Mus musculus: one gene and its partners. The protein of the gene in region 1 interacts with the protein of each later gene in a biochemical or structural test. Links are inferred from orthologs where the notes say so. Each region holds a gene or a part of one and is shown in the gene's direction. Other genes may lie near its edges.

Region 1 (4,063 bases):
CCAGAAAGACCCAGGTTAGAAGAGAGGTCTGCTTTTAGTACTCATGTGTCTCAGTTATGCAGGGTTTACCCAAGGCACAAATGATAGCATAGATCAGCCAGCTCATGTGTCATGCAAACACAGAATAAGTGACATACATGTATTGCATATATATATATATATATATATATATATATATATATATATAAAATCATATGTCATTTTATTTATTTTCACTATTTTTGTGTGCATGGGTGTACTTGTTTGCAATGTGAATACAGGTTCCCAAGGAAACTAGTGGTGTCAGATCTCCATGGAGCTGGAGTTACAAGTGGTTGTGAGCTGCCCAATGTGCATGCTGTGAATTTTACTCTGCTCCACTGTAAGAGCAGCCCATGCTCTCTCTCTCTTTCTCTCTCTCTCTTCTGGTTTTTTGAGACAGGGTTTCTCTGTGTAGCCCTGGCTGTCCCGAAACTCACTCTGTAGACCAGGCTGGCCTCAAACTCAGAAATCCGCCTGCCTCTGCCTCCCAAGTGCTGGGATTAAAGGCGTGTACCACCACGCCCGGCTTTTTTTTTTTTTTTTTTTTTTTTCAGCCCATGCTCTTAACCGCTGAGCCTTCTATCTCTTTATGTCTTTTCACTTTTATTTTTATTTTTTAAAGGCAGGGTCTCATGTAGCCTAGACTGGACTCAAACTTGCAGACCCTTCAGCCTCTACCTTCAAGTGATGGGACCAAACCCTCAAAGGAGTGGCATTTCTCCTCCTGGTGGGTGGGTAGGCTTACCTCTTTAGAGGCTGCACCCTTAAGCTGAGTCAGGCCCACAGACTGTTACTGGTACCCTCTCCCCATGGCTCACAAAACGTGAGAAACCATCTTCCTTAGCTCGTTTGCCAGTTAACTCTGTCTGCAAAGTCCCTGGAGCCTATGGTCCTGACACAGGCAGCCCTACCCCAGGATCCTTGATTCTTTTTCTTGTCCTTCAGCTTCCACGAGCTACGGTCCAATCCTCGACGGCGCACAGAACTGGATCCTTGTGTTGCCCCATCCATAGAATCCGGCCCCTTTATGTTCCGCAGAGCGCCCCACCCTCAACCTCCTCTAACTGTGGCCGTGAGGGAACGCGGTTCTGACCCACTCCCAAGTGATCCCGCTGCACATCTTTAGTTTACCGGGTAGCGTCTCTTCAGTCACTCCCGGGGCCCCGCCCCCGTTAGCCCCGCCCCCGACAGCCTGTCCTCCGAAGCTCCGCCCCCGAGGCCGGGGTAGGGTGGCGACTGGCTCTGCTGCCCCGCCGCCCTCTGCCCTGGGCGCTGGGTCGGAGCGGGCCGGGTACGGCGGGACCGGGCGAGCGCAGTGTACTGGGACTTCGAGGCGAAGATGGCGTCAGGCAGGCGCGCTCCGCGCACCGGGTTGCTGGAACTGCGCTGCGGGGCGGGCTCCGGGGCGGGTGGCGAGCGGTGGCAGCGGGTGTTGCTCTCTCTGGCGGAGGACGCGCTGACCGTGAGTCCCGCCGACGGCGAGCCCGGCCCGGAGCCGGAGCCCGCGCAGCTCAACGGCGCCGCTGAGCCCGGCGCGGCGCCCCCACAGCTGCCAGAAGCGCTGCTGCTCCAGCGGCGCCGCGTGACGGTGCGCAAGGCCGACGCCGGCGGGCTGGGCATCAGCATCAAGGGTAGGTGTGGGGCACCCAGGGCACGGGGTCGTGTTGTCTGTGCTGCTGCGGAGCGCTCAGGGGTCATGGGGGCTGGTAAACGAAAACCTGTCTAGGGCGGAAAGGAGTCTCCGGGGGAGGAAGGAACAGAGTGAGGGAAGAGCACCAAGGTCGGAAGGGGCTTGGGGAGTTCAGGTGACTCAGAAGACACAAGTGTGGAAGGATGGGGGGGCGCACCAAGGACATTGGTGCTTAGTTCTGTTTTGAAGCAAAATGGTAGCTATGGGTACCAAGGGCAGGAGGGTCCCCGGGAAGACTGACAGGGGCGGGGGCGGCGGTGAAAGGAAAGGGACTTGAGGCCTGGGACACTGCTAGAACAAGAAGGAGGTGGAAGTCATGAGACACAACCTAGGCAGACTGGTAAAGGCCTGGAGTCTGGGAGCCCAATGTGGGTGCCAGAGATGGGTAGGAGGCACAGGCATTAGCAGAGAAGGGGCCAGTAAGGACCTAGACATCTTGGGCTTCAGAGGCTGTTTGCCTATGCTGGGAGTCCTGATGGCTAGGGTTGAGTCTCCTCATCTGCCCATTTGTACATGAACAGGTACATGGAGAGAGTGAACCCAGAGTTGCCATTCCTTCCTGAGAATTCTTAGTTTCCAAGACTGACAAGTGTTTGGCATGATCTCAATCTCATGTATGCCAGGCTAGACACATGGTCACTATGTAGCAGAGGAGAACACTGAATATAATCTTCCTATTTCCACCTCCAGAGTGTTGGGATTACTGGGCTCTGCTGCTAAAATAGGTTTATGTTGTGCTGGGGATCAAGCCTAGAGCTTTATAGATGCCAAGCAAGCACTTTACCGACTGACTCCTTCCCTAACTCATTTAGGCTGCCATTGGAGTTCTAGAACTGTGAACTTCCACAAGTCACTTCCCATTTCTGAGTCTGTTTTGGTAACTTTACAATGAGGATGTTTCTGAGAGCAGGGCTTGCCGGCATGTGTGAGAGAAAAAGAGGCCAGGAGGGACTCTCAAAGCAACTAAACGCGGTGCTTAAAAATCTATGTTCAGGGGTGGGTGGGTATGGGGGACTTTTGGTATAGCATTGGAAATGTAAATGAGCTAAATACCTAATAAAAAATGGAAAAAAAAATCTATGTTCATAGCCAGCGCTAGACTCATCATTTCTGTCCCTCTGTCCGTCAGATTGAAAGTATTCATATACTCCCAGGCCTCCTGGGAGGTGCTTGTGTGATAGCTCGCTTAGATCCTTTGGCCCAGGTTAGGGGATAAGCATGGTGGCGAATGTTAGGTGTTGTGGCCACTACATTTAGCTCATGGTCTATTCCATCTTGACCATCAGTGGTGAAAGGTGAGTTTAATCATCAGTGGTGAGCTCAATCTCCATTTTTGCAGGTAAGAGAACTGAGACTCAGAAGAGAAAAATAATTTCCCTGGGGTTCAGTCAGTGAATGGCAGAACCAGGGTTTAAATCTTAATTATAGAGCTACTATTGCCCTAAAGACTGTCCAGGGAATCATACCGTTCCTAGTCAGCTAAAGGGGGAATGGAAAAACAGAGAGCAGGCACCAACTTTCATCCCAAACTCGATGATAGGTCCAGGAAACAGACCAATTAAAATACACTTAGTGTGTCAGAGCAGGAAGGAACTAGAGTTCTAGAAAGTTCTGCTTTGTGACAGACAAACCGACTCTCAGAGGAGCAGGGTCTTGCCATGGTACAGAGACACGACTCAAATCTGTACTTCCAGGTGTTGGAAGGACATTTTTATGGGACTTTAGGGAAAGTAACAGTTTCATTCAATTCTTCCTGGATTGAAGACTGGGCTCCTGTTGCCATGGTAACTTCTTTTCTGGGGTCCAGCTGAGTCTGCGAGGCAGCTGGGAACGGTCATAGCTTCAAATGGAACTGAAGTCCCTACTTTTAGGTGGGGGAGGCTAGATATAAATAGAAACACCTTCTTCTCTTAGGCCTCAAGCCTTGTGCAGTGCCATGAACAACTGTCAGGCCTGGGTGGGGGTTGGGAGAGGTGTTCAGGCTCAAATGTCACGGACTTATATAACCTTGAGACAATGACCTCTTGCTCTGTGCCACCAATCAGTACTTTGAGGATGGGCCAGGAATATGATATTCAAGGGTTTGACTTGAGTCTTTTGGAGACTGTGTCTTGCTGTGTAGTCTGTACTGTAAAGGGCTGGTCTTGAATGTGCAGTAATCCTTTATTTTTTTGCCACCCCCGTGCTGAGATTACAAGCAAGTACCACTATGCCCAGCCCAGCTGACTATTTTAAAGAGACATTTGGTCTGGGTGTGGTGGCAAATGTCTTTAGTCTTAGCACCCCAGAGGCAGAGGCAGAGGCAGGTGGATCTCTCTGAGTTTCAGAATTAGCCTGTTGGACATAGTGAGT
Region 2 (3,558 bases), on another chromosome or scaffold:
TCTTTCTCTCCTTCCTTCCTTCCTTCTTTTTGAGAAAGAATATATATGTGTATGTATGTATATGTATATTTGGTATGGTTTGGTTGCTTTGAAGACAGGGTCTTACTATATAGCTCTGGCTATTTCTGGAACTCTCTGTAGGCCAGGCTGGCCTCGAACTCACAGAGATCCACTTGCCTCTGCCTCCTTCCTTCCTTCCTTCCTTCCTTCCTTCCTTCCTTCCTTCCTTCCTTCCCCCCTCTCTTTCTTTTTACCTACCTTCCTTCCTTCCTTCCTTCCTTCCTTCCTTCCTTTCTTTCTTTTTTCCTGTATAGATCCTTTATAGTCCTGACTGGCCTGGAATTCAATGGGCAGACCAGACTGGCCTTGAATCCATAGAGATCTACCTGCTTCTGTCTGTTAAGAGCTGGGAATTAAAGGCTGTATTACCATGTCTGGCCCCTTCTTAATTTTTTTTTTTTCCGAGACAGGGTTTCTCTGTGTATCCCTGGCTGTCCTGGAACTCACTCTGTAGACCAGGCTGGCCTCGAACTCCGAAATCTGCCTGCCTCTGCCTCCCAAGTGCTGGGATCAAAGGCGTGCGCCACCACAGCCCGGCTCTTAATTTTTATAAGAACTTATTTTATGTATATATAAGTACGTATCTGCATGTATCTATACATGCAGATACATGTATCCATACACCACCTGTGTACTCGGTGCCTGCAGAGGCCAGAAGGCGGCATTGGATTCTCTAGGAGTGGAGTCACAGATGGCTGTGAGCTGTCATGCAGATGCTGGAAACCAAACCAAGGTTTCTGGAATAGCATCCCATGATGTTAACTGATTAGCCACCTCTAGCTCCCTTCATCTCTGGATAGGGAGCCATTTATAGGCACTACCTCTGGGAGGTCTGCCACCCTTCTCAATGACAGCCTCTGCTCTGTGCCTATGTGCACGTCTCCCCTTCATGTATACTTGTCTCCCACGTGTGGTCTCTTTGTGCATCCCCCTTTTCTTGGCCTTCACGGATATGAATGCCACCCTTGCATGTGGGGCACTGATGGGACTTCTCAGTGGACATTTGGTCCGTTGGCTGCATCATGGCGGAGATGATTACTGGGAAGATCCTGTTCAAAGGCAATGACCGTATCCTTCTATGTAGAGCACCCGTTGACTTCGGCCAAGATGTGGGTGCTGGGTGGGCCCCCCTCTGTCCCTGCATTGTATTCCTGACCTTGGTACAGACCTGGACCAGCTGAAGGAGATCATGAAGATCACAGGGACGCCCCCTCCTGAGTTTGTTCAGAAGCTACAGAGTGCAGAGGTCAGTGGGAGTGGGTGGTGGGCTGGACTTGGGCTTGGGGGCTGGCCTATCACCCTTTTTCCCTCACAGGCCAAGAACTACATGGAAGGCCTCCCTGAGTTAGAAAAGAAGGATTTTGCCTCTGTCCTGACCAACGCAAGCCCTCAGGGTACCGCTGGATGGGGTGAAGGTCTCAGGGTACTGGGTGAGTATGTCCCCTCCTGTGGCTTGGCCTGAATTGCTCTTCCCACAGCTGTGAATCTCCTGGAAAGGATGCTGGTGCTGGATGCGGAACAGCGGGTGACAGCAGCTGAGGCGTTAACCCATCCATACTTTGAGTCCCTTCGGGACACTGAGGATGAACCCAAGGCCCAGAAATATGACGACTCCTTTGATGATGTAGACCGCACCCTTGAGGAATGGAAGCGTGAGTGTGGGGGTTCCATACAATGTCTGGCTTTGGACCCTGTGTGCCCTGGGTGAGTGAGCCTCTGCCCCTGGGGTGCAGGTCAGATAAGAGCTTTGGGAGGTCAAAGGGCATTGTGGGGCAGTGCAACTCAACCAGGTTGACTTCTGGCTAGGGGGGAAGGCAGTGGTAAAGAGTGTCTTTTGAAGGAGCTCCGACCCACAAGGGCTGGCAGGTGATGGATGCTGAGAACTGTGGAGCAGGTGTGTGTGCTTTGTGCCCTTGGCTTACTAACTCCCTGGCCGTTCTCTCCCCAACCTCTATATTGCCTAGCATCCTCATGTCCAGACCACACTGGAGCTCTCTCTACCACTGCCGGTCCTTATGACTTTCTTCTTACACCTTTAAAATGTATCCTTACCTCTCCTTACTCCATTTAAAGACCTCTCCTGAAATAACTATATCTTATGTACTGCCCATGGAAGACAGTCTATTCCCATGCAGGCCAAAGGGCCCAGCTTTTCCCTCTCATCTCTAGCCCTAGATCCCTCCATAGCTCTGTGCCAAACCTCCAATTCTCTCTTTGAGAACTGGCCTCAGAGAACTCTCTCAGTTTGCCTACTGTCCCCTGAGCTGGGACTAGCCTCCCGTGTCCTTGCCAGACTGACAGGTCCAACCTGGGGAGCCAGGAGGTTTGAGGACAGGTCCATTGCGACATGCTATCCCTTGTCTTGTCTGCCTCAGACCCCAGGCCCTTGTTCTTGCACCCTGGTATGGGAAAGACTGGATGGGTAGAGGTTCTTGACTCATGTCCTGAAAGTCCTGGCAGGTGTTCTTCCCTTCTGTGTTGTCGTGTGCTTATGAGTTTGGTTCTGTGTGATGAAATCCTTCTGCTGCTCAACAAAATAACTCCCCTAACCACGGGCCACAAGATCCGTTCTGTGGTCTCCATCTACACACTGTGGCTGGGTGCTTTTGCTTTCACCATAGACCACAGGAGGCACACAACTGAGCCCTTGAGCAGGCTCACACACTTTCTTCTCACTTCCTTTTTTTTTTAATACAAGCCTCTCTCTCTTATTATTATTATTTTTTGAACACAACCCCCCCTTTTTTTCTTTTGAACATACACTTTCATCCCTTGTTTTCCTGGGGCAATCTAGCTTCACAGCAGTCTTCAGTGTTTTTAAGTGGATTGGCCCACTTAGGATTAGATTTAAGGCCCATGGGGTGCTGGCTTCCCCCCTTAGTTGAAAGCTGTCTAACTCTATCGTTTGCTTCTCTTCGCTTCCCGCAGGTGTGACTTACAAGGAAGTTCTCAGCTTCAAGCCTCCTAGGCAGCTAGGAGCCAGAGTTCCAAAGGAGACGGCTCTGTGACGACCTCTGGGTGGTTTGGGGGGTATCCAAAGGAGGTTGGCTCGGAGCTTCACGGCACCTTGGCTTCCCTTCTCTGGAAAAGGAATCCTGGTTAACACCCCGACAGTGCCTGGAGCTTGTATCCCAAGTCTTCCACCTGGACATGCTGTGTAGACCCTTGAATCATGAACCCTCCATCTCCAAACCTGTTCTTCGGCTTTCGAGTGCCCCAGATGACCCTGGAAGAACATCTAAGCTTTCTGTCCAAGACCCCTACCCAACATGGGACTAGCCTTTGAATTCTGGAGTTGTACATGAAATCAGTATTCGTGAAAAAGCTTCAGAGTGAGCAGAGCTTAGGAGACAAGTGCCAGACCTGAGCTCTGCTCGCTCTGGACAATGCCAAGGCCAACTCCTGAGACGGAATGAGACAGAGGTTTTGGGGACACTGACTCAGGGACATCATCTCTTCTGGAAGTGGGTGGATTCTCTTACACCCTTAGCCTGGAAT
Region 3 (4,152 bases), on another chromosome or scaffold:
AGATTCTACAACAAGTAGAAGATACCTGATCTCCACACATGTGCAGTGATGTGGGCAAATACACACACACACACACACACACACGTGAATAAATAAACTTAAAAAGACCAAAGTTTTTGGGCTTTACCAGCACTTCATCCAGGAGTTCGTAGACAAGCGCCACATTGCGTGAGATGGTTCCCTCATTGAGTGAGCCACAGTAGTCACCCAAGAGAGTGGCTAGCCTAAGGAAACACAGCAAATTATGTGTGAATAAACCTCACACGCCCTCCTTCTTAAGTGCCTGTCCCAACTCTACTCACCGGGAAAGCAGCTCCAGAAGGCTGAAAGGAGAGACGTTTTCTAAGGTTGTGGCCACCAAATAGAGCCCACTGTGTCTGATGTGAATAAAATGACGATCACCGTGATACTGAGGCAGAGTTGAGGACAGAGGCCATTAAGAAAAGACCAGAATTGTAGTAAGGAAACCTGCAAGATGGCACCCTGAGGTCTACTAGTGATGGGCGATGCCCCAGATCTAAGACCTGGCCGCCTAACGTGGAAAGGTAGTATCTACCTCTCAAAGTTGTTGATAGTCAAAAAATAGGGTGCATGGCTCTGTAACTGGCTTCTTGTTAGTACTCAAAACATTTATAAACAAATCCTCCCCACACACACACCCCCGCCCCCAAGCTTCCTACCAAGCTGCCCTTGACAGGGAGGAGGCACTCACCCACCTCCACAGTTCTAAGGCCCTGCACACCAACCACAGTAGTTACCATGACAACCGGGGACTCGCCTCCAGGCAGTCCCGTCAGCTTCCGGTAGAAGAGCTCTGCCACATCACGACCACCACTGTCCCCGCGGACTAGCCAGGTGGAAAGATAGTTAAGGAACAGGCGACACAGACTGATCTGGATTCGATTTCTACCCAGCTACCCTACCCCGTCTCCCGGGTCAAAGGATACAGTCTTTATAGATGAGCGGATCCCCCTTGGAAGACAGAATGAAGAACTGGGAAATCATGGCGGTTCTGGAGGATAGACGAGAACACGGTGAAAGTTGAACCCACCCCGCCTTGTGGACGCGGAACAAAAGGCCGCACGGAGGCTGGCGCTTTAAGAAACACTCCTCCCACACACACACTCGCGAGCATTAATTTCGAACCGCGGGAAACAGGGTGTCCAACCCGCCAGGATCTGGCAATCTTTCAACGGCCCGCCCTCAAGCCCCTTGTCATTCAATCTAGACTCGTCCATTGATTGGTTAAAGTTAGGGGCTGGCAGCAGTTGGGAACCCCCTATCTGATTGGCGGGTTCTCAGCCGCACGGGTCACATGGGTGACGACGTTTCGCGCCAATTTCGGTTGGCCGGCTACGTCCCGCCGCGCGTTCGTTTTCTGCTTCCCCAGAGAGAGATTTTTGAGCCCTTCAAGTCCTGCCACACCGTCCCCGGCAGCGATGGCGCTTAAGGACTACGCGATCGAAAAAGGTGAAGATCTATAGGGCTGGGGGCGGCGTCCTCGGAGGGAAACTTCTACCTGCACCTGTTGAGGGGTGCTGGAGTCTTGGGGTCGGGCGGGGGAGGGGGAGTGAGCCGGGATCTGTGACTCCGAGGACAGGCGAACTGCGCCTGCAATAAGCAGTGGGCGTCAAGGATGGAGGAAGCAATCCTCCTTGGAAAAGGTGATGTGTTTGTGTTATGGAGAGAACCCAGTGGAGTCCACAAAGGAGGGGCGCGCTCGGTAGAGACCGGGTGACTTGGTTCAATGCATTCAATACGTGACCCAAGGGACTAGGTTACTGGGCCAGCCTCTGCTGCTCGGGGCGCTAGCGAATTCCCGCGTCCACTGGAGACTGGCCGAAGTCCAGAGGCGGGGCTTGCCAGACCGCTACGCGCCGCGATTGGTTGTTTTCGGCCGCCCTCCAAGCGGAAGTAGAGGCGGGCGGAAGTGGCGCTACCCGATCTTGGGACTGTCGTGTGTAAACAGTGTCCTTCCGCGCGGTGGCCTCGGAGATAGCTGCAGTAGGTAGGGGCGTGCCTAGAATTGGGAGGCTAAGCGCCCGGTGGCGAAAGGTGGCAGTGTGGTGGACCCGAATGGCCCTTTGGCGTTCTGGCCAATCCCCGCTCGGCCACCCGTCTCGGGCGGAGGAATCCTGGGCTGTGAGGCGGCTGGAATCTGGGCCCATGTGCTTCTTTGTTTACTAAGAGCGGAAGCAGTGGCGGGAGCCGGGCATGAGTGCAGAGGAGGCCTAGTGGCGGACGTCCTGGCGGGAGCCTAAGAAAAAGAGTTGTACTGGTAGAGCGAGAGCCGAGGACCTTAAGTCGATTGGGAGCGAGCTGAGAGAATTGAAGAAACTGAGATTCCTAATTAAGACAGAGTGTGGAATTCTCTTGGGAAGGTTGGGTAAGACTCTTGTAGCTGCCCGAAGACCTATATTCTTCTCTGTGTAAAAACGGACTTGTGAAAAGGAACACTGCCTACTTTGGGGAGAACTTGGTCGATTTGTTTTCAATGTTCATTTAACTAACTAGTTCATAGGTTTCGTCTTAAGTGAAAGTGGGTTTCTTAGGTTTCTGTTAAGAGTTTGAAATAAAGAATCTAAAAGGAAAGTTGATTGTTTATTTTATTTATTTTTACATTATTTTGTTACATTATTGTGTGTGTGAGATCGCACGGGCATATCATAGTGCTGGACACCCGCAGGACTCTGTTCTCTTCCAACCTGTGGGTGGGCCCTAGGGATTGAACTCTAGTCCTTGGCAGCAGTGGTCTTTACACCTCACTGCAAAGACTTGGTTTTTATTTTATATTTGTAGAAAAAGTTAAGAAGTTCCTCCAAGAGTTTTATTACGAGAATGAGCTTGGAAAGAAGCAGTTCAAGTATGGGACCCAGTTGGTAAGTCTCAGGATTGGTTCTGGGGAGTGGCGTGGCGTGTTAAGAACTTGTATAAGGTTATCTCAAGTCTGGCTATCAGTGAATGACTTGATTCTGATTGTTTTTATACAAAGTTGGGTTTTTGTTTTGTTTTTAGCTTAAGGGTTTTCTTAGATGTTTTAGTCGTGTTTATTCCTATGTGTTTGTGCTCACAGGGGCATGCCATAGCATGTGTAGAGGTCAAAAGGACAATTTGTGGAAGTCTGTTCTCCCACCATGTGTGTTCTAGAGAGCAAATTCAGATCATCTGGCTAGATGGCTATGTCTAACCTGCTGAGCCACCTCATCCATTCCTAGCTCTTAGTTTTTAGGGGTAGTCTTTGTGTGGCTCAGACCACCATCAAGAACACGCTGTGTAGCTACATAGCTGAGGTTGGCTTTGAGCTCCTCACTCTGTTGCCTTCTGAATCCTAAGTGCTGGGATTATAGACATCTACCACCATGATGTACTGCATTCTGTTCTTTCCCCAGTGGTAGGATAGTGACTTTAGAAGAGCTTTTGTGGGTGAGGTGAACTTGACCCTAAAGTGTTAGCATCTCTTCTTTACCTCAGGTTCATCTGGCTCATCGGGAACAAGTGGCACTGTATGTGGACCTGGATGACATAGCTGAAGATGACCCTGAGTTGGTCGACTCAATTTGCGAGAATGCCAAGCGCTACTCAAGACTGTTTGGTGATGTTGTGCAAGAGCTTTTGCCTGAGTACAAGGAGAAGGAGGTAGGTGGCTGGTTTGTTTCTGAGCTCGTCTGCCTCGTGCCCTGTTTTCTTTCTCTGTCCTGCCTCTCGCCTTTTCTTTCTTTTAGGTGGTGAATAAGGATGTCTTAGATGTTTACATTGAACACCGGCTGATGATGGAGCAGCGAAGCAGAGACCCTGGGGCAGTCCGGAACCCCCAAAACCAGTATCCTTCTGAACTCATGCGAAGATTGTGAGTATCTCTGTGGGAAAGGGCGGGGACTTGCTCTCCGGGGACTTGCTGACAAATGTTTCTCTTTTAGTGAGTTGTATTTCCGAGGCCCAAGTAGCAGCAAGCCTCGAGTGATCCGGGAAGTACGAGCTGACTCTGTGGGGAAATTGTTAACTGTGCGTGGCATTGTCACTCGTGTGTCTGAAGTCAAGCCCAGGATGGTGGTGGCCACATACACTTGTGATCAGTGTGGGGCAGAGACCTACCAGCCAGTACGTATACAATTCTATGATGGTGATTTGATACCTCGGGTCGTTTTGACTGAT
Region 4 (4,284 bases), about 23 Mb from region 1:
AGTCATACTTTGCCTGCCAAGGGCTCAGCTCTTGTGGATCGAGTTCAGTGAATGGTCTGCAGGATGGGAGAAGAAGAAAGCTCATGTCACAACACAACTGAGGCTTTCATTGCTTCTACCATCCCACCATCTGCAACAAGGAATAAACCAGGCACCAAGGACATGCACATGACATTTTCAGAGCATCCTCCCGCATCTCTATGGCCTCGCTTCCATAAGCCAAGTCAAGGAAAGGAAGAAATGATGAAGAATGAAAGGTAGTGTTTTGAAGATGTATTTGTGCCTGCACTTGTGTGTGTGTGTGCTCGCGCACATCATGTGTGTGCCTACATGAGTTTATGTGCACCATGTAAGTACAGTTGCCTGAGGAGGCCAGTTTATGTGCACCATGTAAGTACAGTTGCCTGGGGTGGTCCAGTGGCATTGTGTCTCTCCCTATTGGTCCTCCTCCCTCCCTTCTCTTTCCCTTGCGTCCCTGCTTCCTAGCACAGCCCCGTCCCCTCTCCCCTCTGTTCTTCGTGTTCAGGCTTTACCCCACTATTCTCCACTCTTCTGAGAAGTATGGGCACTACTTTGGTGGCGCTGCTAACACAGTGAATCTTACTCTCGTTTTCACATGTGGGGAACCGAGGCACAAGACGCCGGAGCCTGAATGGTGGAGGCAAGCTACTCTGCTCCCTCCCTGTTAAGCACCCTGCAGTAACCTTTCCCACCCTCCAGAACGTGACCTTTTCTGCCCAGAGGGAGTCCCGAGTACTTCGAGTAGCAACAGGAAGATTTATTCTGACTTCTGATGCAGAGTAGAGTTGCAGGGCCAAAGTTGGTATTATTCAGAGTACGGGCAAAGTCCTAGGGCTGTGACCACACCATCTGGTCTCACGCCAGTCACGCCCATCTTCAACCCGCGCCCAAGCATCTTGACCCCTTCAGGGCTGTCTCAATGCCACCATCGCACCATAGTGGGTTTTGAGATCTTGGGCTGGCCAGTTGCCCTAGAAAAAAGAGGAGGGGCATCAAACCGCATCCAGACGTTCTCAAGTGGCAGCGTTTTTTTTAAATCATCCAGCCCTGAACCCACAGATCCTGGGCTCTTGCTGCTCTCTGGCGGCAGAAGCCGGGAGCCCGGAGTCCCGGGGAATCGCACCTTGTATGCTCCGCTAGGGCAAGGGCAAGCAGAGAGTGACCGCAAGTCCAGAGAGAGGAAGGGAGGCAGCGAGGAGCGCTGGGGCAAAAGCCGGGGTGCAGGAGAGCTGAGGAAAGGAGGATAAGGGGACAGCTAGGGCAGAGGACGGTCGTGAGCACCGGCGAGGACCCCCGCAGCCGCTGGACGCGCGGAGCCCCTTCGCTGGCTCGCGCCGGCCGCCCCCTCCTCCCTCCCCGCCGCCCCTCCTCCGTCCCGCCCCCGCGCAGAGTCCCCTGCGCTGCAGAGGCCGCCGCCTGCACTGACGCTCCCGGAGGAGCCACCGCTCGCCAGGACACGCTTGGAGAGGGGAGCAGGGAGCAGGGAGCCGGCCCCGGCCCTTGTTTTCTTGTGACTCTGCAGCCACCGCCAGAGCCCGTTCCCGTTGGGACCTTCACGGCCTGGTGACCTCCGCCCCGCTCTCCCTGCAGCACCGCTCCCCTGCGGCCCCTCTGCCGCGGGAACTTGGGCAGGACCGACGGGACCGGCGCGCGGGGCTGGCTCGGGCGCTGCGGCGATGCCCGCGGGCTCCCTCCCCGCCACTTGCTCGCCCTGTGCCTGGGCTCGGGCCCCGACGGCTGCGCCGTGAGATGACTTTCCGCGACATCCTGAGCGTCACTTTCGAAGGACCCCGGGCGAGCAGTAGCACTGGGGGCTCCGGCGCGGGCGGCGGAGCTGGCACGGTTGGCCCCGAGGGTCCGGCGGTGGGCGGCGTGCCGGGTGCCACAGGCGGTAGCGCTGTGGTGGGAACCGGCAGCGGCGAGGACAACCAGAGCTCCACGGCAGAAGCGGGGGCCGCGGCAAGCGGCGAGGTGAATGGCTCGGCGGCCGTCGGGGGGCTAGTGGTGAGTGCTCAGGGCGTGGGAGTGGGTGTCTTCCTAGCCGCCTTCATCCTCACCGCTGTGGCGGGCAACCTTCTCGTCATCCTCTCCGTGGCCTGCAACCGCCACTTGCAGACGGTCACCAACTATTTCATCGTGAACCTAGCAGTGGCTGACCTGCTACTGAGTGCAGCTGTGTTGCCCTTCTCAGCCACTATGGAGGTTCTAGGCTTCTGGGCCTTCGGCCGGACCTTCTGCGACGTATGGGCCGCGGTGGACGTGCTATGCTGCACTGCCTCCATCCTTAGCCTCTGCACCATCTCTGTGGACCGGTACGTGGGTGTGCGCCACTCGCTCAAGTATCCAGCCATTATGACAGAACGCAAGGCCGCTGCCATTCTGGCTCTGCTCTGGGCGGTGGCCTTGGTGGTATCTGTGGGACCGCTACTAGGTTGGAAGGAACCAGTGCCCCCGGATGAGCGTTTCTGCGGCATCACCGAGGAGGTGGGCTATGCGATCTTCTCTTCCGTATGCTCCTTCTACCTCCCCATGGCAGTGATCGTGGTCATGTACTGCCGCGTGTATGTGGTCGCGCGCAGCACCACGCGCAGCCTCGAGGCGGGCATCAAGAGGGAGCCGGGCAAGGCCTCTGAGGTGGTTCTGAGGATCCACTGTCGCGGCGCAGCCACTAGCGCCAAAGGAAATCCAGGGACACAGAGTAGCAAGGGGCACACCTTGCGCAGCTCGCTCTCCGTAAGGCTGCTCAAGTTTTCCCGCGAGAAAAAGGCTGCCAAGACCCTAGCCATCGTCGTGGGTGTCTTCGTCCTGTGCTGGTTCCCCTTTTTCTTCGTCCTGCCTCTGGGTGAGTGATTCCCTCACTTTAGACCCTTCCCCTCTGGGCGGTCCTTACCTGGAAAGCTTAGATGACCCACAACCTAACTGTGGAAGTTTATCAACTTCCTGTTCTCTTACTAGAGAGAGAGAGAGCGCGCCCGAGGGGTTCTTGATACTAATGTGTTTTCCCTTAAACAGGCTTCTCACTCTTTCTTACCCTTTGTAGATGTTACAAACCTCGGTCTTGCTTTAGTTCCTTGGAAATCTGAGCAAACATCAATCTGTATGATGTGATCAGTGTGTGTGATCCCCATAGATACCCATCTCTGGAAATAGATTGTGGGTGAGCCCACATGCATTCACTGGCAGCAGACCCAAGCCAGCCAGCCACCTTGTAGCTCAGCAGATGCCAGAAGTGCTGTGTTCTCCATAGACATCCATTTCAGTTGGCCCCACTGGTATCTGGGAGAACCCTGTGGGCTTTCCCTTCTGAAATCTTCTCTGGAAGAGGTTAGAGGAGGGGACTTGTGGGGGTGGGAAGGACAGGATAGGAAGTCTGTCAGGTGGACAATTACTATTGTTTATAGTCATTTACAGAGTGAACTAGTTCCCTTACAAGGGCCCTGCAGTCCTGGGGCAGGTACAACTGCTCTCAAGGGATTCTTCGCACCCCCTGAGCCTCTCTGAAGGTCCTGGAGCAGGGCCCAAGGGCCAGAACCAGCTCAGAGAGGAGAAAGGGGCAGCCTGTCTCAGGCTTATGACTGCAACCTCTCCTGGTGCAACCAGGGCCTCTCCTCCCTTTCCCCCATCTGACTGCTTGAACCTGTGAGACAAAGTCAGGGGAAGAAACAATGACCTGCCTCCTGATCCACTGCAAGTCTCTCACCTACACACACACACACACACACACCAGCAGGAGCAGCAGCAGCAGCCACAGTGACTTTTGTATATCGTAACTCGGTTGTGTGACCCTTCTACAAGTCCCTGAATGTTCTCATACTACTTGGGAACAAAATCCAAAAACTGCCTTCCATAGTCTACAGAAGGTAGCCTTCAAGGTTATTATTGTCCATACCGAAATAGGTCACTATTTAGTATTTACAGTAGGACCATGGGCATGAACTGAAGGAATCCCCAACAGATGTCCTCCCCATCTGAAAGGGGCTATTCCAGGAAGGGCTGCCTCTCTCTGTCCTGCCCTGACCCTCAGTGGGTTAGTTCCAGGCCAAGCCTGTCACCAACCTCTGTTCTTCCCTTTGATTATTTCAGTCTGGACTGGCCCCAAACCTCTTACCTAATTCCAAACCTGGGGGTCTCTACTTATATGCCCCTTTGGCTTGTGTTTCACACCTTCACTGGCTTTCCAGCTTTTCCTTTCAACTGTATGGTCACTGAACCCAGAACAGCACCCAGGACGGTGCCTGGCATATGAGGACATTGTTCCTCACT
Region 5 (4,028 bases), on another chromosome or scaffold:
TAAGTAAATACTTAAAAAAATAATAATAACAGCTCCTATCAATTATCCTCCTTTACCCTCAGTTTCACAGTGACAAGTACACTCCTCTGTTCTTGCCCACGAGTGTGGAATGTCATTGATCTCTTCTAGTTGAGGGATAAACATCTTGCTTTGCTATGCCATTTCTTGTCCAGCCCCAGGGATCGTCTCTCTTTTGTACTTCCCAGTGCCAGGATTAGAGATAGTTAACCTGGGTGCCTGAGGTCCAAACATGCTTGCCTTGTAAGCACTCTATTGCTGAGTTGTGTCCCAGTCTCCAAACCAAGTGTTTCATGATATGAGCTTACCTGAGCATAAACTATCACACAGCTTGCCAAGCAACATTTATTTAAAAAAAAAAAAAAACAAACAAAAAGAAAAGAAAAGAAAACCCTACCACTTGATGGCACCAGCAAATAAGGAACCCACTGGGGCTTCTCGATGCCTTCTGGCAGAGTCCTGTGCATTTTCCCAAGGGCCAGGGAGGGATGCTATTTTTTGAGGTGGTTTTGAAGTAGCTCTGTTCTCAGAGGCTCTTGTTGCCTGAGGCTGGGGCTGTGTTATCTGAGAAGTGTGGTCTGACAGACCTCACCACCCAGCCCGAGTTTAATGCAGAATTTCAAAGTTAAAAGTACTGCCAGTGGAAGAAGTGTTCTGGGAACTTCCAAGGCGGGTCTGTAAAAATATCAGTGGTCTCTCACGGAGGACTAAGCATAGGGTGTTTATTTTAAGACAGGCCTGGAGGTTTGGGGCTGATGGTGGGGGGTGGGGGTGGGGAGCAGGGGGAAGGAGTCCTGGAGAAGGGAAACTAGTCACTTCTCGTGGCAGATGTGTGTGGTGTGTGTGTGTGTGTGTGTGTGTGTGTGGTCCCCCACCAACTGATTTGTTTGCTCTGTGCAGACACTCTCCTGATGCCATATAATTACATATAATCATAATTCAGTTCTGACATGGTCCTCCTGGAGTTCGTGTACTCCAGCTTGAAGACTCATTCTGGACAACCCATAAGCCAGGGTCCCTCTTCAAGTTTGTTAGTGTGATTAGAAGACTTACAGATACGTTAACTTACATGTACCTATTGATTGTAAGGCTAAACCTCAGAGCAGCCAATGGGGATGCTCAAGTGAGGAATGTGGGCAGGGACAGAAGCTTTTAGAATCTCTGTGTCTTTTACCCAGCATTCCAAGCTGCATTCCTTTAGATTGTCACACACATGCACCTGGTTACATCCCTGGCAAAGGCAGGTAAGCTCTACCTCCCTCTATGAAACTCCCTATCTTCTAATGCAGCTCCTCTGGCAACTAGCCTCCCTCCTTAAGGGCTTTCCACACACTCCTCAGGAACACAGACTTAAGTGAGGCGGAGGAGGGCCTTGAAAGTTATCAAACAGTGTCTCTTTCCACCCGTCAGGATGGCTGTTACATACACACACACACACACACACACACACACACACACACACACACTCACACACTCACACACTCACACACACACTCACACACACACACACTCACACACACACACACACTCACACACACACACACACTCACACACACACACGATGTCTGTTACACAAACACACACTCACACATATACACACACACTCATACACATACACACATACATACACACATACTCACACATACATACATACATACATACACACACTCAGGCACACATAAATACACACATACACACTCAGGCATACACATAAACACATGCACACAAACGCATGCACACACACAGACACACACATAAATACATACACACACACTATATATATATATATATATATATATATATATATGCATGTGTGTGTGTGTATGCAAGTATTGGTGAGGACATAAGACATCCAGATTTTGTGAGTGGAACAAAATGGGGAAAGCTACTGGAGGCCTATAGGGAGGAGGCTCCAGGTAGGGACCTCCCTCCCCAAAACCTCTATATAAGTAGTTTAGATAATTATTGCTCACCATTACAGACAGAGCTAGAGAAGTTACCAACAGCTGAGGTGGCTCTCTCCTTTGGTCACTTTTTCTGTGTCTGGAGTGGCAGGAGGGGGAAGGGCGTTCCCCACTGAGTCTCTTCTTGACCCTCTACCCACATGCTAGCCATGGGCTTCTGACCTTGGCACAGCTGTCCAGGCAGTCTTCATTTTGCTCAAGTACTCTGTTCATAAGGAGCAGGGACACAGAAAACATCTTTAGCACGGGGGTGTCAATGGCAAGACGGAGGCCAGTGCACCATGCAGGGGACCAGGGGTGGCAGGGCCGCTGACTCACTCTGCTTCACGGAGGCAGCAGCCACGTCTTGGTGGAGCTAAATCTGCCGCACGCTTTTAGCTCATGCAGTTGTTGGCAACCTAACTCAACAGCCTGGGTTATTTTTTGCCTCCTGGAGATTGGTGAGCCAGCTAACGTTCCTTTAATAAGTGCTCCTTCTACAGAAGTTGGTGGCCATTTGAGTTGCCTGCGGATCCCTCGGCACTTGTAAAGTTCAGGACCAAAAATACATGCAGAGTGCCTTCTGGGTTTCTTTTGGTGATGTCTAGCAGGTATTGATTCCATAGGCTCTGGAAAATCATGAGGGAAGAGAGAGATTTCTGGGCTTGATCAGCAAACATGTCTCCTCTAATTCTATAATGCAGAGCTCTGAGAAAAGATGGCAGCCTAACTATCATGAGCTTGTTGCTCTGACAAAAGCATCTTGCAAGAGAAGTGGTTTATCTTGGCTTATAGTTTGGGGATACAGTGTATCATGGTGGGACAGGACTGTGAGGAGGCCGGACATGAAGCACTGGCTGCCAGGAAGCAAAGAAAGATGAACCCTGGGGGCTCAGCTCTCATTTCTGTTTCGATGTAGCCCAGGATCCCAGCATATGGGATAGGACTACCTACATTTAGACTGGGTATTCCCACCTCAAGTAACCTAATCTACAAAAGTCCCAGCATGCTCAGAGGCCTTGTCTCTTTACTGACTCTATGTCCATGAAATCGACAATATTAACCGTGGCAGCAATCAATGAAATATTCTCAAACAGCTAAGAGAGAATTCTTGTTTCCAGCATGAAGATACATCTGAGGTGATATACATAATGTGTTAAAGTGTCACTATACTCTACATGTGTATGATTGTTTGTATATACTTGGTCCAGAGTAGGTGTGTCACTGTGGGTGTAGACCTCATCCTAGCTGCTTGGAAACCAGTCTTCTAGCAGCCTTCAGATGAAGATGTAGAACTCTCAGCTCCTCCTGCCCCATGCCTACTTGGATGCTGCCATGTTCCCACCTTGATGATAATGGACTGAACCTCTGAACCTGTAAGCCAGCTCCAATTAAATGTTGTCCTTATGAGAGCTGCCTTGGTCATGGTGTCTGTTCACAGCAGTAAAACCCTAAGACAGAAGTTGGTATCAGGAGTGCATTCTGTTATATGTCACCTAAAAGTAAAGATACTTTATAAAATATATCCTCCAACAATTCAGGATCTATTCCCAGAAGAATGAATCGACAGAAAGTGATTTTTTTTCCCACGCAAGATTGAAAAGGGGAGAGATTTAGACACATGTTATAACATAGATGGAACTAGAAGACACCATGGTAAGTGGAAAAAGCCAGTCTCAAAAGGAAAAGCATTGTCTATAAGATATCATGACAGAATAAACAATGGAAAGGAGGGGATTATCCACTTGGGCCTGGTGCCAGGGTTTCAGTCAGCCTATAGTCTTTTGCTATGTTGCTTTGGGGCCACGATAAGGCAGAACAGATGTCTGCTTTGTGATAGACAAGGAGCAGGGAGAGAAGGCTGAAGAGGAAAGGGCAGGAGGAGGGATCCAGCGCCAGTACCCTACCTCCTTCAACCAAGCCAACCTTCTAATGCTTCCATCCCTTTCCAATAATGCCCTCAAATGCGACCCCATCAATGGATTAATCTTTTCAAGAAATCAGAAGCTGCAGGATCCCAAAACTGGCAACCAAGCCCTGGTACCTGAGCCTGGGTGGGAGAGCGTA
Region 6 (4,189 bases), on another chromosome or scaffold:
ACAATTGGGAACTGTTCGCTTCTCAAGAACTTAATTACAGATTTCCTTTTTACGGCCTGAGGTAGAGGCATTCCCAGGGGTAGATCAGAGGACCTCAGCCCGAGGTCCCATCCTCTGTTCGCATCAGGAATGAAGCCAAAGACTCTAGTTTCGGATTCTCTCGACAATGTGAAGCGAGGAAATGTGGTATGACTTTAAATGCTTTCAGATTTAATCGCCTTGAGTATGTATATATTTTCTTCCCTCATCTTCCCAAAGCTAATCCCACAGTTTTGAGAATCTAGCCACCCTCCCAAGAAATCTGAAATCCCAGTTCATGACGTCAACCCAAAAGGGATAGCACCTTGTGTTGGCTCAGCTCAGATTGCAAAATCCCATGGGTAACGGAGCACAGATGCGGATGTTAAGGTGTTGGTACTGGAGTCAAAAAGTCTGAAGCGTCATTCTCCGTGTTCTTTCCACGAGGGGCGTGGGGGTGGGGCGACGTCATTTACCCTGGACTGAATGTTGCCCTAAACTTCTCCTTTATATTCAGAACTCTTTCATCCTTTTCTTTAGCTGGGACTGGGGCCTGTGTGTGTATCCGACTGGTCCTCGGTGTTGGCAGTTACATCCACAAACCTTCCCTTCCTTTCCCCATCTACTGCACTTGAAGGAGAGAGCACAGCTCCGCGCGAGAACAGCGCCCAGAGAGCCTTTCTGACAGATGCGTACCCTGCTCCAGCAACCCGCCTGGCTGCAAAGTTTCCTCTAATCACTAACACCCACTTCCTATTCCCCCAAGCTGTCATGCTGGCCAGGTCCCCTCGCGATCAGGGAAGAGCCAGGCTGCCTGATGGCAGAACCCCAGTCTCACAGCTAAATTCCTCCAATCCCAGCAGATAGGCTGTCCAAGGCACTCCTGCGTCTCCGAGACGCCTGTAAGGTTCTCTTATAGCTACCAGGAACCGGGCACTAGAGGCGAGGGAACTACGGGGTGCCGAAGGGAAATAAGGGCGCTCTTGCGGGAGCGGCAAAAGGAGAGCTGGGTGCTAAGGTTAACGGAGACTACTGGTTGGCGGGGGGCACAGGAGGCGGCGGGGCGCCGCAGGGGGCGCCGCAGACTAGACTCTGGAAGAAGCCTGAGCAGGAAAGGGCGCGCTCGCTGCAGCCCGTGGGTGCTGGCTGCGTAGTCCGCCCGCAATCTTTGGAGCCTTTCAATCGCGGGTAGGAGGGGGTGCTGGGTGTTGGGGGTGGGGGCACCATTGTCGGGGGCGTGCCTTGGCGGCGATTGGCTGCGGGAGCCTGACGCGCGGCCCCGGGGGCTGGCTGGGGGGGTGGCAGCGAAGGGGGGGGGGGAGGTGCTGGGTGTTGGAGCCGCCGGCCCCGCGCGCTCAGAAACATGCTGAGGTCCCGGCGGCTCTTCCAGCAGCGACAGCGGCTCCAGCAGCAGCGGCGGCGGCGGCGGCGGAGACAGCGCTCGGCTACGGAGGAGAAGGCGCCCGGCGTCCATGCCTCCGGCCCCGAGCCGCGGCTGCCCTGACCTGGCCGCGACCTCCCCGCGCGGGCCCCGCAGCCCCGGCTCCTGGGGTGCTCCCCAGGCGCGGCCCAGCCCCGCCACACCCCCCGCCCCCGGCCTCCGCAGCTCGGCATGGGCGCGGGGGCGCTCGCCCTGGGCGCCTCCGAACCCTGCAACCTGTCGTCCGCCGCGCCGCTGCCCGACGGTGCGGCCACCGCGGCGCGGCTGCTGGTGCTCGCGTCGCCTCCCGCCTCGCTGCTGCCTCCAGCCAGCGAGGGCTCAGCGCCGCTGTCGCAGCAGTGGACCGCGGGTATGGGCCTACTGCTGGCGCTCATCGTTCTGCTCATCGTGGTGGGTAACGTGCTGGTGATCGTGGCCATCGCCAAGACCCCGCGGCTGCAGACGCTCACCAACCTCTTCATCATGTCCCTGGCCAGCGCTGATCTGGTCATGGGATTGCTGGTGGTGCCTTTCGGGGCCACCATCGTGGTGTGGGGCCGCTGGGAGTACGGCTCCTTCTTCTGCGAGCTCTGGACTTCGGTAGATGTGCTGTGTGTGACGGCCAGCATTGAGACCCTGTGTGTCATCGCCCTGGACCGCTACCTCGCCATCACGTCGCCCTTTCGCTACCAGAGTTTGCTGACGCGCGCGCGAGCGCGGGCCCTCGTGTGCACAGTGTGGGCCATCTCGGCGTTGGTGTCCTTCCTGCCCATCCTCATGCACTGGTGGCGGGCCGAGAGCGACGAAGCGCGCCGCTGCTACAACGACCCCAAGTGCTGCGATTTCGTCACCAACAGGGCCTACGCCATCGCCTCGTCCGTCGTCTCCTTCTACGTGCCCCTGTGCATCATGGCCTTCGTGTACCTGCGGGTGTTCCGCGAGGCCCAAAAACAGGTAAAGAAGATCGACAGCTGCGAGCGCCGCTTCCTCGGCGGCCCAGCCCGGCCGCCCTCGCCTGAGCCCTCGCCGTCACCTGGGCCACCGCGCCCCGCAGACTCGCTGGCCAACGGGCGCTCCAGCAAGCGGCGGCCGTCGCGCCTCGTGGCTCTGCGCGAGCAGAAGGCGCTCAAGACACTGGGCATCATCATGGGTGTGTTCACGCTCTGCTGGCTGCCCTTCTTCCTGGCCAACGTGGTGAAGGCTTTCCACCGCGACCTGGTGCCGGATCGCCTCTTCGTCTTCTTCAACTGGCTGGGCTACGCCAACTCGGCCTTCAACCCCATCATCTACTGCCGCAGCCCCGACTTCCGCAAGGCTTTCCAGCGCCTGCTCTGCTGCGCGCGCCGGGCCGCCTGCAGACGCCGCGCAGCCCACGGGGACCGGCCGCGCGCCTCCGGCTGCCTGGCGAGAGCTGGGCCGCCGCCGTCCCCCGGAGCTCCCTCGGACGACGACGACGACGACGCCGGGACCACCCCACCGGCGCGCCTGCTGGAGCCCTGGACCGGCTGCAACGGCGGGACAACCACTGTGGACAGCGATTCGAGCCTGGACGAGCCGGGGCGCCAGGGCTTCTCCTCGGAGTCCAAGGTGTAGAGAGCCAGGCTCTCTGGGCGCACGGACGCCGCTCCCCATAGTCCCGGGCTGGACACGGGCTCTGCATCCCTAGAGGAAGAGAGCCCGCCTGGGCGCCCCTGAGCCGCTCCCCAGGGGAGAGAGGAGATCTCTGTTTACTCAAGACCGAAAGCAGGTGAATGCAAAGCCCACAGATCTATCGAATCATCCGAGACGTACAGAAAAGCCCCGGACCGAGCGTTTGCGCAAAAAGGAAAGTTTAGGAGGAGTTGGGAGAGTGTGGCTTAGTATGGCTTACTGGCTTGTCTTGAGTTCCTTTCTCTCTGAGGTTCGGCCTTTCGTGTGTTTAATGCACCTTCAGGCATTCCCCCCCCCCCCCGCCCCTAGGTGGGTTTTGACACTTTCTGCAAGGACCCGAGTGGAAACTAGGCGGGGAGGGGAGGGGGCAGGATGGAGTCTATCACCTGGCTTTCCGGTTCCACACCTAGGAACCTAAGTATTCAGCTCAGGTTTGGTGTGGGGGCGGGGCCGGTGATAATTAGCCAGGAAGTGTTTCCCTTTGCTTTCTAAAGAAATTGCATACTAATTCCGGAGTACTGGTGTCTCCTGTTCTTAAAGCAAAGGGAAAAGAAGGATGCGAAACAGACAAATCTGGTTTCGAGAAACTATGTGTGGAGCACGGTTCACCTTGCTTTCTCCTAGAGGGCAAACCTTGTGCCCTGCGCGCCTCGGTGGTCCTGCTGTGGGTCCTCTACCTCACTCTGTGCATATTGCACAGCAAGATAGAAAGACTTGTTTATATTAAACAGCTTATTTATGTATCAATACTAGTTGGAAGGACCAGGCGCTGAGTCTCTCTCTGTGACATGTGACTCTGTCAACTAAAGATAGGACAGAACAAAAAGGAAACAGTTGAGATTATTGCACATGTGGCTAAAAACAAAGACGGCAAAAAAAAAAAAAAAAGGCAGTGGTTGGAAGGCCATTTTGCACAGTGTTAGGCATTGTAAAATTCATAGAAGTTGTTAACTTGCACAAAAAAAATTAAATATTTTTACTGGGATGGGGAGGTGGGCAGATCTTTAAAAAGCTAAAATAAAATTCAAACTCAGTTTCTCTTGTCTATTATGTTATTGAGTTGATGGTTTATTGGGAAGTTACTTTTTATACTCTTATCAT
Region 7 (4,271 bases), on another chromosome or scaffold:
CTCTGGCAGAGTACCCAAGTTCAGTTCCCAGCGCCCACATGTCACTTCACAGCTGCCTATAATTCTAGTTGCACGGAACCTGACAACTTCTTCTGGCTTTCACAGGCTCCTGCCCACATGTAGCACACATGCACGCACATGGGCATCTGTACATGCATGGTGCACATACGGACACACACAGGCATCTGCACACATAGACATAAATAAAAAAGGAAAGACAGATTAGTAAGATGAGAAGAAAACAGGGACTAGGGTTTGTTGACTTCCACTCCACTGGGTGGCCTTTTGCGAACTTTTGGACGTCTGTGGGTCCTCAGTTTCTCCTTTGTGAACTGAAGCCTTACTGATAGACTGTGCCACTATTAGGGTTCTTCCAAAAGAACGACCTCTGTCTCCTGAAGTGGGGGTGCTTAGGGCCCTTAGCTGCTAGAGCTTCGGGAGAGGATGCAGACCACCCAGGAGAGGGTCAGGGCCACCGGGACCCCCACAGGACTGGTTCCCACCTACCCTCCTCTGGGCTCGGAGAACCCTCCCCACCTGTCCCCAGGGGCCTCGCAAATCCGGGAGTGGATCCTCCTTGGAACGGATCCTCCAGTAGGAGTGCGGCGGGGCGAGGAGGAAAACCCGGGCAGGATCCGCGCGAGAACCGGACGGCGCAGCCTTCCCCCCCCCCCCCCCCCCGTCCCCGACCCCCGACTCCTGCTGGAGTCCTGGGTCCCGGGCGCTAGTGGCCTGCCCGCGTGGGTCAGACGCACCAGGAGGGCCGGGGTGGGGTCCGCCTGGGGCTGGCAGCCGGGGCGCGCTGCCTCCGCAGCGGGGCGCGGGTCACGTGTGAGGAGGGGCGAAAGTCTCCGAAGCGGGGCGCGTGCTGCGAGTTGGGAGTTCTCGGCGCGCCGCGGGCGGCGGGAGCTCAGGCTCCCGGGCGAGCCGGGGACGCGGCGGGGACCGGGTCCCAGACGGAGGGGGCGGCGGCGGGAGTGGGAGGGACGCAGACAGAGAAGGACACAGCCGGCCGAGGAGGCGGCGCGGGGCGAGGCTGAGCCCGGGCAGGGGCCGGAGCGCGGCGACCAGGTGCCACGGCCCCGCGGGAGGAGAGGCGGCACCGGGGCACAGCGGCGGGGACCTTGTGGCAGGCGCGAGGTGGCCACAGAGCCAGGAGACCCCAGAACTGAACAACGAGAGGGTCGTGGGGCTGTGGGTAACAGCGGGCAGTGGGGCGCCTTGGGCCCCTGGACCCCTCGACCCGAGCCCGGGCTCCACGATGCTGCCGCCCGGGCGGCGCCCAGCTCTTGACGCGGGGCAACGCTGAAAGTTACGCAGGGAGCGGCGCGGGACAGCGCGGAGACCCCGAGACCCACAGAGGCCGCCTGGGTCAGTGGCGACATCGCGGGCAGGCGGCGCCCGCGTCCCAAGCCCGGCGCCCCGGACTCCGCCCGCCGGACTGCGCCGGGGGATGTAGCGGACACTCGCCGCCCAGACCCTCCTCGGACCTTACGCCCCGGGGTAAGCTCGGGCTCGTCCATCGCGAGTACTCTTCGTCCGTCTGTCCGTCCCAATGTCTGTCTAGCTCAGAGAGTTGTTTGTCCTGCCGCTCTGGCCATACCCGTCCTGCACTTATCCATCAGACCCGATTCCTGAAGGGTCCCAGTGTGGACCTGTGACTTCCCCCAAGCTGGCGCGCTCCGTTTATTTGGCCATCAGAGCGTCTCCTGTGGGTTGTGGCTGGCAATAGAAGGGAGATGGATGACAGAGATTTGACCTCCTGCCCTGGCGACGGCCCTTCTCTGCCCCCGCCCACCTCCATGCCAGGAGCTGCGAGGCAGGTGACTTGCAGCAAGGTGGGAAGGGGGCGTCTCAGCTTCCCACCACCCACCTGCAGTCTCCGTGAATGGTTCGGAGTATGACAGAAATCTCCCTTCTGCTGTGTTAAGCACCTGCCTTGTGCCAGATAACCCCAGGGTAGGTGAGCCGGTAGTAGCTGAAGGAATGAGGTAACAGTAAATGGAGCATTTCGGGGATTAGAGTGGTGGAAACTAAGGCTGTAGAGAGAGGGGCAAAGATGCTTTTTCTTCTGCAAAGGGGAAACAGCAAAGAGTCATGCCGTGGGCTCTAAGCAAGGAGAACTTCACCACCACCTGCAGAATGCCCACTAACCAGGTCAGCCTACTACTGCCCCCCCCTCCCCCACAAACTATGCAAGGGGACTCAGACTTCAGGGCAGGGAGCTGTAGACCAGCTTGGCAGGCAGCAGTGCCCTCTAGGCACCACACAGGGTGGCTGGGCTGCCCTAACAGGGAGGGCCTCAAGAGGGGGAGAGCTCCAAGTAGTAGGCTGAAGGACCTAGGGACCAGACGAGGTGTCTAGCCCTGGACAGAGAAGGGCTGGATCCAGGGATCCAATATTCACTCCACCCCCACTCCCATCCATCCCTGCACCTTGCAGGACTGCTAGGAGTCCAGAGCCATGTGTAGCCTTGACTTGGCTTCTGAGGGGAGCAAGTGGAGAAACAGGACAGTTAGGGCAAGTGGAGCGGGAGGACTGAGCCTGGAACATTCTGCTCTGCCCTCCTATGGAAGAAGGGTCTCTTTCTGAAGTTTTCCATACTGGGCATCAAGGCTCGTATATCCCTTGGTCCAGGCTTCAGAAATGAGACCAGCTAGTTGAGACACTGGGCAAGTTATGCTCCTTGAGCCTCTGCCAGCACATCTGTGGAATGGGGACACCAGACCTGCCCCACTGACCTCCAATGCAGGGCCTTTGAGCTCTGTGAGCAGAAGACTCTTGGTAGGCTGAAGAGAGGGGTGGGCAGATGGGGGTGGGGGTAAGAACTCAGTTTACTTTGAGGGAAAATAAGTAGTTACCAGTGGCAAGAATATGGCTGGAAATGCAGACTGACAGTAATGGAGGTGTCTAGGCATAAGTGGGGGGACCTGGGACTTGGGCGCTGTACCTAATGTTACGCTTAAAGAAACATCTTCCTAGGGGAAAAAAAATAGAGGTGACTGGCCAGACAGAAATGTCCGCGGGCTCCCACTGGGGTGACCTTGGGCAGTTAGCTTGACTTCTCTGAGTCACAGTTTGTACCAGTGGAGAATGGGACTTCATGTCATTGTCACTGGCTTGCATACAGTGTCAGGGCCCTGGGAAAAGCTTGCAGAGCCAAACCATGCAGGTTCTAAAGAGACATTTGTGGATCGGAGGACAAAGTCACTCTAGGATGCTGTGGGAAGATTTTGGGGCTTAGGATGAGAGGGAGGGGGAGGAGGAACTGTGTGGGCTTACACAGGGCGGGCTGGTTCTTAATGTGGATCTGGGGGAGGCGGGGGCGAGTGCTGAGGGGGGTGTGAGGAGGAGGGGGCCCCCTCTGCGGGGACCACTGAGTCACGAGGACATGTAAGCGACATGACAACCAGCAACGTGGTAACCAGGAAACAAGCAATGGGAACGAAGCTGGAGCAGTGTGTCGTGGTGGGGGAGGGCAGACTGGCAGCACCCAGGCTTGGAGGGTCCGTGGTGGGTTAGGCTGGTCGGCCTGCAGGGGGTGCGGGCCAAATAGGCTGGGTAAGAACGGAAGTGTAAGAAGTGACAGGAAGCACCCAGGGGCTCAGCGGGGCAGGGGGCTTCTCTGGTCCCTCCCCGCTCTTCTTTTCCTCCACATCCCCACTCTTCATGCCTCTCCCCCTAGGATGCCAAATTTGGCTCACGCAATCTGTCGTCTCTCTTCTGAGATTGGCACGGGGATGGAAGCCGAGTGCATTACATCAGCGCCTGATCCCCCTGCACTGGGGGAGGGAGGGGAAGAACCGAAGACCGACCAGGCCAGGCTGGGATTGGAAGGGCAGCAGCCAGACTTCAACTTCCCTGCTTGTCTCCTGTTTGCTCTTCTTACCCTAATCTTAGATGTAGGGGGAGTTTGGGAAAGGCCATGACGAACTTAGAGGTGGGACCAGGACTCCAACTTTGGGGAGGTTCCATGACTTGGGCAGGAACCAGTCAAGCCCTGTTGCTGTCTCCCTGGCTAATTGGGACCAAAGAGTTCTCAGGACTTGGTGTGTCATTGCCTGGCCATGTGACCTTGGGCAGATTCCCCTTGCGTAGTAGAGTCTACATGTGTATAGTGAATGTTGGCCGCTTTGTAGTATTGGTGACTCCCCTGAGAGGAGCCACGTTGGCTCTCCAGGGCCCCGGGATGGATCCTGTGACCTTGAACAGCAACTTCTCTCCTTATGCCTCCATCTCCTCACCTGTGAAATGGGTATGTTCAAGGTCAC

The links.
Region 2: of the proteins of Snta1 (region 1) and Mapk12, one has a biochemical effect on the other in vitro, tested with the Homo sapiens proteins (2 studies listed by BioGRID and IntAct, with this or other methods). The link is inferred for Mus musculus from reciprocal best matches to the Homo sapiens genes SNTA1 and MAPK12.
Region 3: the proteins of Snta1 (region 1) and Mcm7 interact in a test that uses a peptide from one of them, tested with the Homo sapiens proteins (2 studies listed by BioGRID and IntAct). The link is inferred for Mus musculus from reciprocal best matches to the Homo sapiens genes SNTA1 and MCM7.
Region 4: the proteins of Snta1 (region 1) and Adra1d interact in a test that uses a peptide from one of them, tested with the Homo sapiens proteins (2 studies listed by BioGRID and IntAct). The link is inferred for Mus musculus from reciprocal best matches to the Homo sapiens genes SNTA1 and ADRA1D.
Region 5: the proteins of Snta1 (region 1) and Mas1 interact in a test that uses a peptide from one of them, tested with the Homo sapiens proteins (2 studies listed by BioGRID and IntAct). The link is inferred for Mus musculus from reciprocal best matches to the Homo sapiens genes SNTA1 and MAS1.
Region 6: the proteins of Snta1 (region 1) and Adrb1 interact in a test that uses a peptide from one of them, tested with the Homo sapiens proteins (2 studies listed by BioGRID and IntAct). The link is inferred for Mus musculus from reciprocal best matches to the Homo sapiens genes SNTA1 and ADRB1.
Region 7: the proteins of Snta1 (region 1) and Kcnj4 interact in a test that uses a peptide from one of them, tested with the Homo sapiens proteins (2 studies listed by BioGRID and IntAct). The link is inferred for Mus musculus from reciprocal best matches to the Homo sapiens genes SNTA1 and KCNJ4.

What each region holds. Positions count from the first base shown.
Region 1 is NC_000068.7:154,405,269-154,409,331, reverse strand, and holds the start of Snta1 (alpha-1-syntrophin), read left to right. Parts: upstream 1-1,247; 5' UTR 1,248-1,360; coding exon 1,361-1,652; intron 1,653-4,063. UniProt on the Homo sapiens protein: Adapter protein that binds to and probably organizes the subcellular localization of a variety of membrane proteins. May link various receptors to the actin cytoskeleton and the extracellular matrix via the dystrophin glycoprotein complex.
Region 2 is NC_000081.6:89,130,649-89,134,206, reverse strand, and holds part of Mapk12 (mitogen-activated protein kinase 12), read left to right. Parts: intron 1-1,056; coding exon 1,057-1,128; exon of another isoform or gene 1,129-1,226; coding exon 1,227-1,306; coding exon of another isoform or gene 1,307-1,375; coding exon 1,376-1,454; exon of another isoform or gene 1,455-1,538; coding exon 1,539-1,712; exon of another isoform or gene 1,713-2,988; coding exon 2,989-3,068; 3' UTR 3,069-3,558. UniProt on the Homo sapiens protein: Serine/threonine kinase which acts as an essential component of the MAP kinase signal transduction pathway.
Region 3 is NC_000071.6:138,169,044-138,173,195, reverse strand, and holds the start of Mcm7 (DNA replication licensing factor MCM7), read left to right. Parts: upstream 1-1,312; 5' UTR 1,313-1,439; coding exon 1,440-1,470; intron 1,471-1,929; exon of another isoform or gene 1,930-2,386; intron 2,387-2,799; coding exon 2,800-2,879; intron 2,880-3,471; coding exon 3,472-3,636; intron 3,637-3,722; coding exon 3,723-3,847; intron 3,848-3,917; coding exon 3,918-4,098; intron 4,099-4,152. Other genes in the region: Ap4m1 (AP-4 complex subunit mu-1), read right to left, coding at 128-224, 303-409, 717-847, 948-1,005. UniProt on the Homo sapiens protein: Acts as a component of the MCM2-7 complex (MCM complex) which is the replicative helicase essential for 'once per cell cycle' DNA replication initiation and elongation in eukaryotic cells.
Region 4 is NC_000068.7:131,559,655-131,563,938, reverse strand, and holds the start of Adra1d (alpha-1D adrenergic receptor), read left to right. Parts: upstream 1-1,441; 5' UTR 1,442-1,770; coding exon 1,771-2,863; intron 2,864-4,284. UniProt on the Homo sapiens protein: This alpha-adrenergic receptor mediates its effect through the influx of extracellular calcium.
Region 5 is NC_000083.6:12,865,333-12,869,360, reverse strand, and holds the start of Mas1 (proto-oncogene Mas), read left to right. Parts: upstream 1-1,217; 5' UTR 1,218-1,262; intron 1,263-3,502; 5' UTR 3,503-3,617; intron 3,618-4,028. UniProt on the Homo sapiens protein: Receptor for angiotensin 1-7. Acts specifically as a functional antagonist of AGTR1 (angiotensin-2 type 1 receptor), although it up-regulates AGTR1 receptor levels.
Region 6 is NC_000085.6:56,720,742-56,724,930, forward strand, and holds the start of Adrb1 (beta-1 adrenergic receptor), read left to right. Parts: upstream 1-1,375; 5' UTR 1,376-1,630; coding exon 1,631-3,031; 3' UTR 3,032-4,189. UniProt on the Homo sapiens protein: Beta-adrenergic receptors mediate the catecholamine-induced activation of adenylate cyclase through the action of G proteins. This receptor binds epinephrine and norepinephrine with approximately equal affinity.
Region 7 is NC_000081.6:79,502,428-79,506,698, reverse strand, and holds the start of Kcnj4 (inward rectifier potassium channel 4), read left to right. Parts: upstream 1-1,457; 5' UTR 1,458-1,503; intron 1,504-2,759; exon of another isoform or gene 2,760-2,784; intron 2,785-4,271. UniProt on the Homo sapiens protein: Inward rectifier potassium channels are characterized by a greater tendency to allow potassium to flow into the cell rather than out of it.